Macaca fascicularis: one gene and its partner. The protein of the gene in region 2 interacts with the protein of the main gene of each other region in a biochemical or structural test. Links are inferred from orthologs where the notes say so. Each region holds a gene or a part of one and is shown on either strand. Other genes may lie near its edges.

Region 1 (6,332 bases), on a different chromosome or scaffold from region 2:
TACTTGACTAGAATAACTAGGTACTCAACAGAAAAACAAGCTGAAGACAGCAGAGCTAAAGACAAAACATGTCTCTTGACTCCAGTACTTTTTCCCTTCTTTCTGTAGTCAGAATCGCCTCTCCCACTGCTTTTTATCCTGTTCCTCCTGCGGCTGTTCCTTCTCAGTCTCCTTCACACATGTGATTTCCTTTGTTCAATCCAGGGTCGGTTCCTGGCTGCCACCTTTTTCAAATCCAAATGCTGTCCTTGGACAAGCTGTGTCCTATACACCCACATTTATGCCCAGGACTCTCAGTTCCTCATCTATAGCTTGGCCCTCCCTTTCAAACTCCCAAATTTCTAATTACTTAAAAACTTCTGTACCTGAATTTCTTACGAGTACTTCAATATTAGCATAACTATTATTAAATTTGGTCTCCCCTCTTTTTTTTTTTTGAGATGGAGTCTTGCTCTGTCACTGAGGCTAGAGTGCAGTGGTGCGATCTTGGCCCACTGTAACCTCCGCTTGCTGGGTTCAAGCAATTCTCCTGCCTCAGCCTCTCAAGCACTGACTTGACTGCAGTGCTTGGACTGCAGGTGCGCATCACCGTGCTCAACTAATTTTTCATATTTTTAGTAGAGATTGGGTTTCACCATGCTGGCCAGGCTGGTCTCGAACTCCTGACCTCGTGATCTGCCCAACTCAGCCTCTCAAAGTGTTGGGACTATAGGCGTGAGCCACTGCGCCTGGCCTGGTCTCCCTTTAAAACTTGCTCTTCCACTATCTTCCCTGTTCCATTGCTGCTCACCCATTCACCCCTGCTAGAAACCAGGAGCTGTTATAGTCTCCTTGTCACCCACGTCCGGCTCATTGTTGTGATGCCCACTCATTAGTTTCTAAGTGGGACTATATTAGCAGCAACATCTGTACTTGGCAAAAATCCTTTTGAATTTTAAAATGAATGAAGATGGGAATACACTAGTAGCAATTTGTTTTATGACCCTATAGTTAATGCTTGAAATATGTATTTAGAGTCTTGTTTGTGATTGACTGCTCATTTGGGGAGACAAAGGGGTCTGATTTGATCGGATGTACCTGTGAGAGCCACCTATGGAGCCCCTTTTTTCTCTCCGTGTTTAGCCCTTTTCGTGTACAGCACATGGACCTGTCGAACTCGGTTATAGAAGTGTCCACCCTCCAAGGCATACTGTCTCAGTGTTCCAAGTTGCAGAATCTAAGCCTGGAAGGCCTGCGGCTTTCGGATCCCATTGTCAAGTGAGTGGCAGCCGGAGTGTCGCAAAGGCAGTTGTTTTTATGTGTATGAATTTTTTTCCCTGTATATATATATAACTGGAGTGCCCTTCTAGCCATATCCAGGTGGATACAGAAAATTTCTAGTGCAGGGCTCTTGCTTCTGCAAAACTTTTCAGGACTCATTGAAGCAACAGAAGCTTGAATGCTAACTATATGCCAGGCCCTGTGCTAGTTTCTAGAGATACAAGGATGAACAATGCATGTGTATTATTTGGAAGAAAATGAATGCTCCAAAACTTTTCCCACATTGTTAGTGAATGCTGGTTAAGCTATAGTTTACCTTCTTGCAAGAGGAAACATCGAGCAAGACATGTCTGTTTCCTCTTGCAAGAAGGTAAACTATTTATGAGCAAGACAGATAATTACCATGCTAGTGTGTTTATTAAATATTTCGGTGAATATGTGGCAACACGCGAGGAGCCGCCTTCTTAGAGGAAGGAAGTGACTCTTGAGTATTGAAGATATCTAGGTAAGAGATCTCCAGGTAATAAGATAAAGCAACCAGTCTAGGTAAAGCTTCCTATGTGGTTCTAAACTCTACGTGGTTGGAAGTTACTGGAGCACAGGACTAAGGGAGGGGAATGACAGGAGGTGAGGAGAGTCAGGGACCAGATTGTAATAGGCCCCTGTGCCTTGCTGTAAGAAGAATGGACTCTTCCATCAAGAGGGAAGCATGGGCCAGGTGCGGTGGCTCACACCTGTAACCCCAGCACTTTGGGAGGCTGAGGTGGGCGGATCACCTGAGGTCAGGAGTTTGAGACCAGCCTGGCCAGCGTGGTGAAACCCTGTCTCTACTAAAAATACAAAACTTAGCTGGGTATGGTGGTGCATGCCTATAATCCCAGCTACTCAGGAGACTGAAGCAGGAGAATCACTTGAACCCGGGAGGCGGAGGTTGCCATGAGCTGAGACCACGACACTGCACTCCAGCCTCGGTGACAAGAGCAAAACTCCATCTGAAAAAAAAAAGGAAGCATGGTGGAGAGAGTTGTTCTGAGAGTGGAAGGAACACGTCAAGAGTTGAAATTTAGGAAATGAACTTGCCAGGCACCATGGAGGGTCCATCGAGGATAGAAGAAGCTAGAGTAGTTAAGGATACTGCTGTGTTCATTCAAGTGAGAAATTTTGAAGTCTGATATAAAACAGATAGCAATAATAGCAGCTAATGTTTTGGGGCATGTATTATGTGCCAGATAGTGAATTTTGTAAATGCGTTTTCATTTACTTCTGACAGCAACCCCATGAAGTGTGATCTTACTTGTTTCCTTTTTATAGCTGTGGAAACTGAGACATGGGGAGACTGAATAAGTCTTTTCAGGGTCACACTGTTAGTAGGTGGCTGAACCAAGATGTGAACCTAGTGATATACTATTTCCAGAGTTCTTACTCTTAATCACTAAGTTTTACTAACACAGGGCATTTGGGGATGTAGTAGAGAAGATGGCAAATTTGAGAGATGTATAATCAAAAGAACCTGGTGATTTTACAAGTAGAAGTTTGCAAGCTAATTCTAATTATGGGTGAAATGGATATATGTTTATTCCATTGTGTTTTTAATTCAAAAAGTACATTGATTGATATTCTTGTGTATTTGCTTCATAGTAAGTCTTTTATCACATTATATCATTTAATCTTCTTGATAACCCTACCAAGAAGGTTTGATAATGCCATTTCACAGGTGAGTAAACTGAGGCAAATTATCCTGTTTGATGTCTGAGAGATAGTGATATACATTTTAAACTCACTGACTCAAAGACCTATGAACTTAACTACACTTGCCTGCTTTCATCTACATGTTGTTGATGAATAGCGTCTTATTGGTCTTTTTCTTCTGACGTTTTTCTCTTTTTCCAGTAATCTCGCACAAAACTCAAATTTAGTGCGGCTTAACCTTTCTGGATGTTCTGGATTCTCTGAATTTGCCCTGAAGACTTTGCTAAGCAGCTGTTCCAGGTATGAAAGATGTGACTTGATTATAGACTCTTATATCAAATGTAAAATTATCCCTCACATCTGTATAAAATTGGATGAACTTTTTGAGCTTTTTGTAACTTTCCAGGCTCTTGATTTGGTGAATGCAGCGTCTTTTGTCCTCTAAACTTTCTGTCCAAACTCAGGAGCCGAGTCAATTGAGTTTGCAAGCGATACTTTTTTATCTCTCTTTTGTTTATTTGGAACTATTAAAGAAAGGGAAGTATAGTAGTGTCTGTCAACAGTATATTTGTAAGAAATCAACTCACACTTAACTATACATTCAGGTTTTTTCCCTTATGGTATCTGTAGACCTAACTTACAATTTTTGATCAAATTTTGTGTTTTATAAATATAGACCATAAATTTGGGCAATTCTATTAACAATAGCTTTCATAATAATGTCAGCACATAAAGGGTACAGAGTTACAGATGTTGTTAAGTGAGGGGAATACATGCTTTTTGGAATACACAGTACTATGCATATGTGTGTTTTTAAAAAATATCCCTTGGTCTCCATGGTACATCTGTGTCTTGTTAATGGTCCATTTAAAATAGATTGCCTCCGGATATGAATGATATCAGTGAGATCAAATGTATAGCCCTATATTTAGTCAGCAGTGCCAGAAGTGGGGAGTGGGGATTCATGGTTGTATTTTGTCTCTGAAACCCTCGTTTTTGCTCAGTTAGCAGAGGCACAGTAAGATGAAGTGGCTTTTTGCAATGTCAGCATCTCTTTTGTGCAATCCTTCAATTGTATAAAACATCCTGAGTGATTGTTCAGTCTGTGTTGGGTGGTTGGTAGTCTGAGAAGGCAAACATAAAAGACTAGCATTTCTATCTGCAGTACTGGAATAAGGTTTGAGCCATCAGGAAGAGAGTGCTTCTCTCCATTTCCAGGAGGAGGCAGCATTCACCAAGGCCCTTCTGATCCCCTGGCAACTTTCAGGGGCAAACAGGGTATACTTAGGAGACTAGAGGTAGCTGCTGTTAGAGAAGCAGGTGTTCTATGCATGAAATGATAAGGAATCAATGGCTTTGCATTTTCTTTGTTTGCGGTTTGAGGCAAACTCATTCCTGTGAGTTTTAATTGGTTTCATGGTTTCATATTTTCTTTATTACCCCTCTTTTGTGCAGACTGGATGAGCTGAACCTCTCCTGGTGTTTTGATTTCACTGAAAAGCATGTACAGGTGGCAGTTGCGCATGTGTCAGAGACCATCACCCAGCTGAATCTTAGCGGCTACAGAAAGAACCTCCAGAAATCAGGTTAGAGCTTCCAAGCCTGAACCACTGAGGCCTTCACAACGTAATAGATGAGATTCATTGAGCTTCTCCTAATCGTTCCTCCACATAAGTTTTCTCATTTAATCCAGTGCATGTGTTAGTCCCCTTTTGCAGATGAGGTGGCTGCTAAATCAGAAGGGTTAGGTGAAGGTAAACAGCTAGTGAGCTAGAGCCAAGGTTTGAATTCAGGATCTAACAGTAGAAACCTTTACACTTGAAAACAATTTATTTTTAAGCAGAAAAACTTTTAATCAACTAAATGATTAGATAAACTCCAACATAAAAATACATAAATGTAGCATTTCATTAGTATTAAATAGTGGTTCTTCATTAGTTAATGGGGCTATTTTGTCTGTATGGGGACATTTGTCAATGTCTGGAGACATTTTTTATTGTCACAGCTGTAGGAATGCTGCTGGTCTTCCTTGGGCAGAAGCCAGGATGCTGCTGGACGGTGTATAGGATGGAGCATATTACGCACAATAATCTGGTCCAAACATCAGTTCCAAGGTTGAAAAACTCTGTTATTAACTCTGTTAATAAGTTCATATTTATGACTTTTACTTTTTATTCAGTCCAAGAGGGCAACGAGGTTTTTTAGATGAAAACAGGCCTTAGGAGTCAGGGGTAGCAGGGAACAGTCTTTAAAAACCTTAATATTCAGTTACGCTTTGTTACTGAATGTTAATGAGAAAATCTTGTATGTTACTTGTATGTTAATGAGAAAATCTTGATTTGCAAAGATAAGTGATTACAAATGGCAAGTTTTTTAAATGGCTTCACCGTCGCAGGCCAACATTCAGTTTGTGGGCTATGCAAAACCTAGTTAAACCAGCAACACACATCAACCGTATCTCGATGTTAGTACTAGCTTATTTGAGTGTATTTTGTTTATTATAGTTTTTATTATTCTGAAAAAGATTTGAATCAAACATCTGCAGAATATATCTTAAAATTTAAGTAGTATAAAACTACTTCTCCAGGACAGACGTCCTCTGGTAAGATGTATAAAGCTATAGAAAATAATTGCTAGCCTCTCATGAGTGGGCAGAGATTTGAGTCTTTCACCTGTGCAAGGACTCAAATTTGGACTACTGCCATTCCAAACACTTGCATTTTCAGACAAGGTGAATACTTTCTTTAGCAAGCCGTAAAAGCAGCAATCATGTCTTCATTTCTTACCACTCTCCCCACCCAGTATTTATAATTACTATTTTAAAACTGATCATAGCATTATACAGTCATTTTAAAAAATGCAACATATAGAAAAACGCAAAGGGAAGCAAATTATCAATAATCTAACATCTTGCTAGGCTTTTTCCTGTACAAACACTGTTTTTTTTAAATGGGACATAGTATATTAAATACTTTGTAATATGCTTTTTTCCCCCCAGATAACCCCATTTTCAGTGGCTACATTATGTCATCATCAGTGGCTATGTGATAGTCCATCAAATGGATATGGAATAATTTATATTAAATCAATAACAATTTATGCAGTTGATCTTCTAATGGACATTCAGAATCTTCCCAGTTTTTCTCTACTATAAACAATTTTATGAGTGACAGAGACAAATCTTTGGATGCATTTCTAAGGATGGATTCTTAAAAGTGGAATTGCTGGGTCCAGCATTAGGTACTATTCTCAAGTTTTGGATAATTTCTGCCAAATTTTCCTCCAAGAAGTTTAAACTCCCACCCACGAGCATCCTCTTGGTGTGAAATTCCATCAGTCTTGGTTCTTCTCTGTTTGTCTGCAGGTGAAGGGAAGGCAGTGCC
Region 2 (6,432 bases):
CTGACGTTCTGGGTGGACATGGGGCGTGGGGCCTACCTGACGTTCTGGGTGGACACGGGGCGTGGGGCCGGCCTACCTGACGTTCTGGGTGGACATGGAGCGTGGGGCCGGCCTACCTGACGTTCTGGGTGGACACGGGGGTGGGGCCTACCTGACGTTTTGGGTGGACATGGGCCGGCCTACCTGACGTTCTGCGTGGACACGGGGGTGGGGCCTACCTGACGTTCTGGGTGGACACGAGGGGTGGGGCCTACCTGACGTTCTGGGTGGACACGGGGCGTGGGGCCTACCTGACGTTCTGGGTGGGGTTCCACCTCTCTGAGGGCAGCTCCCCGCTCTGGGGGTCGTCCACCGGTGGATGGAGGATGGAGATGCACACGTCCCCCGTCTGCACAAGGAGAGGACAGGTCAGGACAGGTCAGAGGTCAGCACTGGCTCCCAGAGCCACGGGTCCCGGACAATGAGTACGTGAGGCCCGTGGGGGCCGCGCTCACCTCGTAGATGTTAGGGTGCCACATCTTGGTGAGGAACCGAAAGGCCGGTGGAGAGTACGGGTAGTCGATGGGGAACTTGAGGCGCGCCTGCAGGGGCAGAAGGCGGGTGGCTCAGCCCAGCTCAGCCCCAGGCCCGGCCCCGGCTCACAGGGTGCCCGAGGCCATTCCACTCCTGGTGCTGGTGTGCTGGGGGTAAGGCTCGGGCGTGTGCCTGAGGGTGTGTGTGAGGGACCCGAGGCCATTCCACTCCCGGTGCTGGTGTGCTGGGGGTAAGGCTCGGGCGTGTGCCTGAGGGTGTGTGTGAGGGACCCGAGGCCATTCCACTCCCGGTGCTGGTGTGCTGGGGGTAAGGCTCGGGCGTGTGCCTGAGGGTGTGTGAGGGACACCCTATCCCAGCCAAGGCAGGGACTCTCATGGGCCTGGGGCCAAGTCCCCAGCAGGCTGCCTCAAGCCTTTTCCGAGTCACCTGAGCTGATCCCAGCTCCTACACAGTCCAGGTGGCCGCGGCCTGGCCCAGCACAGCCGCTGGAGAACGCAGGCACTGGCTGCCCGAGTGGCTCCAGGCCTGTGGCAGCCCAGGTCAGGCACATGGGACCCGGGCCAGGGGCACCCACCAGCCGACGGAACGGACTGGCAGGGGCTCCAGGTTCCCCTCGGATGGAGCTGAGGCCCAAGACCAGGCTGCCCCTCCAGGGCCGTGGCAGGCACGGTGTGGGGAGGGTTTGCACAGACGACTGCTCACTCAGCAAACACTGACACCTGCCGGGCCCCGGCCACGGGAGGGGATGAGTCAGCATGGCCGTCTGCCCTCAGGTGTCCAGTCTTGTGGGGTCAGGCAGGCAGACCCACAGGTCACAGAAGCCTGGCAGGACTCCTTCCCTGTCAGCATCGCCCCCTGTGGCCATCCAGGCCCTGGGGGTCCAGGCCTGCTGGCAAGGACGGCCACAGAGGAAGGACTGCAGCCACGTGCCCGGTGACAGAGCTGTCTGGCCTGCGGCCTGGGGCGTGACGCCACCCACGGCCCTCCTGGGCCCCAACAGGTAAACAAGGAAGCCTCACTGTTTCCTTCCTGGGCCCCAGTGCCAGGCACGGGGGTGTCTGGGTCAGGGGTCCTGGTGGCACTCAGCACTCCAAGAGGCTGAGGGCAGCACCCCCAAAGAGCAGTTGTTGGCGAGGTCCTTCCTGGACAGGGAGGGCTCTCAGGGGTCTTGGGGGTGTCCTCTGTTTGACAGGGAACTCACTGGGGCCCCATGAGGTAAGGGACTTGGCCACAGCCACAGAGCAAGGCTGGAACTTCAGGCTCAGAACTGCCCAGCAGTTCCCCAAGACTCCGGGCCCCCCAAGCCTGGTGCTGGGTTTCCAGGCGGCCTCACCTGCACCGAACCCCACCAAGTCCCAACAAACCTCTTATTTTCAGCACCTCCAAACATGTCTTTTACCCGGAGCAAACCCAGGCTCCGAGAAGCAAAGCCCCCGCCGATGGCACACGGCAAGTCCGCCGTGGAGGGCTCTCTCTGGTGGCCCCTGCCCCAGGGCTCGCTCTGGCTCCTGAAGGAACAGCGGCTGCAGGCAGTGGCTGGGCAGCAGCGGTGGCCCTGGGCACTCAGCAGCTCCTGTATTTCCACGCTCCCCCAACTCCCTCCCAGGCACACGGGGAAGGGAGAGCCCCGGTGGGTGGCAGCACCCCCCCGCGTCTCAACGCTGGCCTCTGAGGACTGACCCTGCGGCAGATGTCTAGAGGCCCCCTCCCCAGGAAATCCGGAAAACCGGATTATCCCCTAATGCTGGTCCAGGAGGCTCTGCCCACAATCCCTGGCAACCGGTCTGGTGGGCAGGAGCCAGGAACCCGCATCCCTTCCTTCCAGAACAGCAGCCGCCTCACAGGCCTGGCCTCGAGGTGGGGCCGCCCCTGCTCACAGCCAGCTGCTCCCCCAAGCAGAAAAAAGGGGCTGGGGGAGGGGGCTGCTAAAACCATTTGACAACCTCAAGGCTCAAACTCTGTTCCCTGTGTGGGGACCCACGATTCCAGATGCACAACCCACGGACGTCCCACCCTCTGCCGTAACCCAGAACCTCAGCTCAGGAATCGCCCCCAGCAGACCAGGCTGCTGCCCTCACAGCCGCTGAGCGCGCGCGGTTCAGACATTAATTAGCCCGGAGAGCACACGCTCTGAGAGGCATCGGTCCCTCGGCCCCATGCCCGCAGCTGGCCGGGGCAGAGCAGGCCCGGCTGTGCCCAGGCTCTTGGCAGGCAGCGACAGCGGGAGGGGGGATTCCTGGACAGGGTGCGCGATCCCCACCTCTCACACGGGGCCCCTCACTTTGTCCCTCTGGCCCCAAGGACGAGGTCCTGGAACTCTACAAGAGCCAAAGGTCACGTCTGGATCGTGAGATCAAGAAAACTGGCCAGGCTTTGGCCTGAGTCCTTTCCACACTGGACAGAAACAGTCTCCCTGCTCCCAACGGCAACAAAAACATCAAGAACCTGCTTGGAATGAAACCGCCAGAGGGCAGAAGGAATGGCCCAGAACTCGGGGTTGGGGTCACAGGAAGCCACCTGTTCAGTGGAATCTGAGAAAGGCCAAGGCCAGCTGGGATGAAGCAGCCCGGAGCTTCTGAGGTCGGGGTCCGGGACGCGGGCCGGAGCCGGGGGCCCGGGGAGAGCTGCAGGGAGCAGGTGGGAGGGACGCCCCTGCCTCAGCCTTCCCGAGGGCGCAGGTTACATAAACCCGGGGATGGAGCCCAGGGCGCCTGGCCGGCTGCTATCGGCAAGGGTGGCCGCTTTCCAGGCAGGGCCCGGCTGCCAAGGCTCATCCGGGCCTTTGTTGGAGCCTGAGCGAGTGGCCGCGCCAGCCACCCCCAGGCTGGCCTCGCTCCCCCGCTCACAGGCCCAGCTCCCCAACAATAGCAGCTGCGGGGTCTGGGGGGGGCCTCTTTGTCTCCTCCGGGGAGGGCGGGGAGGGCAGCAGAAAGGCCGGGGCGGCCTGGGCTCCGCTCCCTCTTTCTCGCAAGGGCGGAGGGGGAGGCAGCCGGGGTCGAGCCCCCCCCAGGAAGGAGGTGGGCAAGAGCCCCACGCGCAGATGATACCGGGAGGGCCCCGGGCCACCCTTCTGCGGGCCAGGAGACTACCCGGGGACCGGACGGTGCCTTCAAGGAAACTGAGAATTCTCGGGGACCGCAGCAGAGGCTGAAGGTCCCCGGGACCGTCCGAGGAGGGGGCCGGGCACAGCTGGGTGGGGAGACCCGGCCATAGAAGGGAAGCGAGCCCAAGCCAGGAGGCTGCCGGGCCCGCCCGGGGACCGCGGGGCAGGGAGCTGGTTCCTGGCGCCCGAGGTCGCTCGTGGGCTCAGGGACCCGGGCGGGGGTCGCCGCGCTCACCTTGAAGTAGCCGCCCTCGTAGTAGGTGTTGGGGGGTCCGAAGATGGCCACCTCCCAGTTGTACAGGTCGCCCTCGTCCACCAGGGTCACGCGGAAGCCCTCGACCGGCTCTTCCTGCAGCCCCTTGAGCTCCAGCAGCAGCGCCTTCTGCGAGCTGGGCACTAGCGGCCGGGCCATGGCGGCGGCGGAGGGGCCCGGGGTCGGCGCCGCGCGGGGCCGCGCGACCACCGCGAGCTCGCGAGACGGGCCGGGCCGCGCGCCGTCCGGGGGGGAGCCGCCGGGGCCGCCGCCTGCCTCCTCCTCTGCGCCGCCGCCGCCGCCCGGGGACCCCGAGCGCTCCACCAGCTCTGGCGCCGCCGCCCCACCAGCGCTCGCCTTGGCCCGGCCCGCGCGCCCCGCCCCCCGCTGCGCCTGCGCGCTCCGCCCGGCCCCGACTGCGCCTGCGCGCCGCGGCCAGGCCCGACCTGCGCCTGCGCGCCCGCCCGCGGGGCACGCCGGGAAGTGGAGTCCCGGTCCCGGTTCCGCCTACCGCGCCGAGCGCCGCCGCCGGGAGGGAGGGTTCGAGCGCGCAACCCTGGGCGCTTCCGATCCCCGAGGCCGCCGCCGTCGCCCCCAGCTCGACCAGTACCGCGGACGCTGTGCGCACGGAGGCGGGCAGGGCTGCTCTGGCCGTGGCTGGCCCGGTCCCCCAGCTTTGGGGTCGTTTTGTGACGTCCCGGCGTGGGGCGGGGCTGCGGGCGGTGAACGGGGCGCGGGGCGAGGTCCTGACCGGGGCCGGAGGGGCAGGGCCGGTTCCCCCGGCGCGACCCCGCGTCCGCGCCTCCGTTTCCCCGTCTATACAGGGGACGGGCGCTGAGTCTGTCCTGGGGCGCGCTGGCCTCGCGGAGGGGAGGAGCGGGAGCGAGGCGGGGTGTGCAGACCCGGCTTCCAGGCGCGGCGCTGCCTCGGTTCCCCCGACAGCGGGAGCTCTGAGAAGTGGGCGAGGTCGGGGAGGGCTCTGAGGGCGGGAGGGGGCGAGGGCTTTCCTGGTCCCCCGTTGAAGTCACCATGTGGTGTGAGGCGGGTGCAGGTGCTGGAGCCATCAGAGGTTGGCAAGGTGCTCCTGCCCCCCAGAGAAACTGGGAAAGAGGCTCCCCCCAGCCAGCATCGGCTCAGCACCTGACCCGGGAGAGGCGCCAGCCCCACGGAGCCCCCACCCCAAGCTGAGCCTGAGCCTGGCTGTGCCCTCCTCCCAGCCTGACCTCTGTCCCACCCAAGTCTTTTTTTTGAGACAGTCTCGCCCTGTCGCCCAGGCTGGAGCGCAGTGGCACAATCTCACTGCAGCCTCCACCTCCAGGGTTCAAGGGAGCCTCCTGCCTCAGCCTCCCGAGTAGCTGAGATTCCAGGTGTGCGCCACCACACCCGGCTAATTGTGTCTTTTTAGTAGAGATGGGGTTTCACCATGTTGGCCAGGCTGGTCTCGAACTCCTGACCTTAAGTGTGTTAGGTTTTGGAAGGAAGGGGAGGGTGCAGTTTGGAGTAACAAAGTGATCCGTCTGCCTCGGCCTCCCAAAGTGCTGGGATTACAGGCATGAGCCACCGTGCCCGGCCCCCCAGAGTCTTGACCCCACCTGACTTCTGACCTGGCTGAGTGGCTGCCCAGACACCCGCATGCTCGTTGCCCTGAAGCTTGGTCGGGAGAACTGGCCATGCTGAGGACAGGGCAACCCAGCCTCCCCTGAGTGGTGCCCGTGACTGCGGTGGCCCTGCCCTCGGACTGTGCTGGTGGCATTATTGCTATGTCCTGGGTACACACAGCTGCATCAACAACAGGCGGGGACCAGGGCCACTCCCTCCCACAGGTGCCCCAACACGGTCAATATCTCTCTTCTTCCATACACCCCACATCCCCGGAAGCACTGTGGGTGCGGGAGGTTTTTCTTTTCTTTTTTCTTTTTTCTTTTTTATTTATTTTTTATTTTTTATTTTTTTGAGACAGAGTCTCGCTCTGTCGCCCAGGCTGGAGTGCAGTGGCGCGATCTCGGCTCACTGCAAGCTCCGCCTCCCGGGTTCACGCCATTCTCCTGCCTCAGCCTCCCGAGTAGCTGGGACTACAGGCGCCCACAACCGCGCCCGGCTAATTTTTTGTATTTTTAGTAGAGACGGGGTTTCACCGTGGTCTCGATCTCCTGACCTTGTGATCCGCCCGCCTCGGCCTCCCAAAGTGCTGGGATTACAGGCGTGAGCCACCGCGCCCGGCCCTCTTTTTTATTTTTGAGAAGGAGTCTTGCTCTGTTGCTCAGGCTGGAGTGCAGTGGCACCATCTTGGCTCACTGCAACCTCCGCCTCCTGGGTTCAAGCGATTCTCTTGCCTCAGCCTCTGGAGTAGCTGGGATTACAGGCATGCGCCCGCACGCCTGGCTAATTTTTGTGTATTTAGTAGAGACTGGGTTTCTCCATGTTGGTCAGGCTGGCCTCGAACTCCTGACCTCAGGTGATCCACCCGCCTCGGCCTCCCAAAGTGCTGGGATTACAGGCGTGAGCCACCGCGCCCAGCCTGGGTGGGGGAGATTTTCTTTTC

What was found. The genes of interacting proteins can lie anywhere in the genome.
Region 1: the proteins of CDC34 (region 2) and SKP2 form a complex in vitro, tested with the Homo sapiens proteins (3 studies listed by BioGRID, with this or other methods). The link is inferred for Macaca fascicularis from reciprocal best matches to the Homo sapiens genes CDC34 and SKP2.

The regions. Positions count from the first base shown.
Region 1 is NC_088380.1:36,456,262-36,462,593, forward strand, and holds part of SKP2 (S-phase kinase-associated protein 2), read left to right. Parts: intron 1-1,122; coding exon 1,123-1,257; intron 1,258-3,150; coding exon 3,151-3,249; intron 3,250-4,404; coding exon 4,405-4,535; intron 4,536-6,332. UniProt on the Homo sapiens protein: Substrate recognition component of a SCF (SKP1-CUL1-F-box protein) E3 ubiquitin-protein ligase complex which mediates the ubiquitination and subsequent proteasomal degradation of target proteins involved in cell cycle progression, signal transduction and transcription.
Region 2 is NC_088393.1:1,083,661-1,090,092, reverse strand, and holds the start of CDC34 (ubiquitin-conjugating enzyme E2 R1), read right to left. Parts: upstream 4,222-6,432; 5' UTR 4,050-4,221; coding exon 3,873-4,049; intron 582-3,872; coding exon 495-581; intron 389-494; coding exon 291-388; intron 1-290. UniProt on the Homo sapiens protein: E2 ubiquitin-conjugating enzyme that accepts ubiquitin from an E1 ubiquitin-activating protein, and catalyzes its covalent attachment to other proteins by an E3 ubiquitin-protein ligase complex. In vitro catalyzes 'Lys-48'-linked polyubiquitination.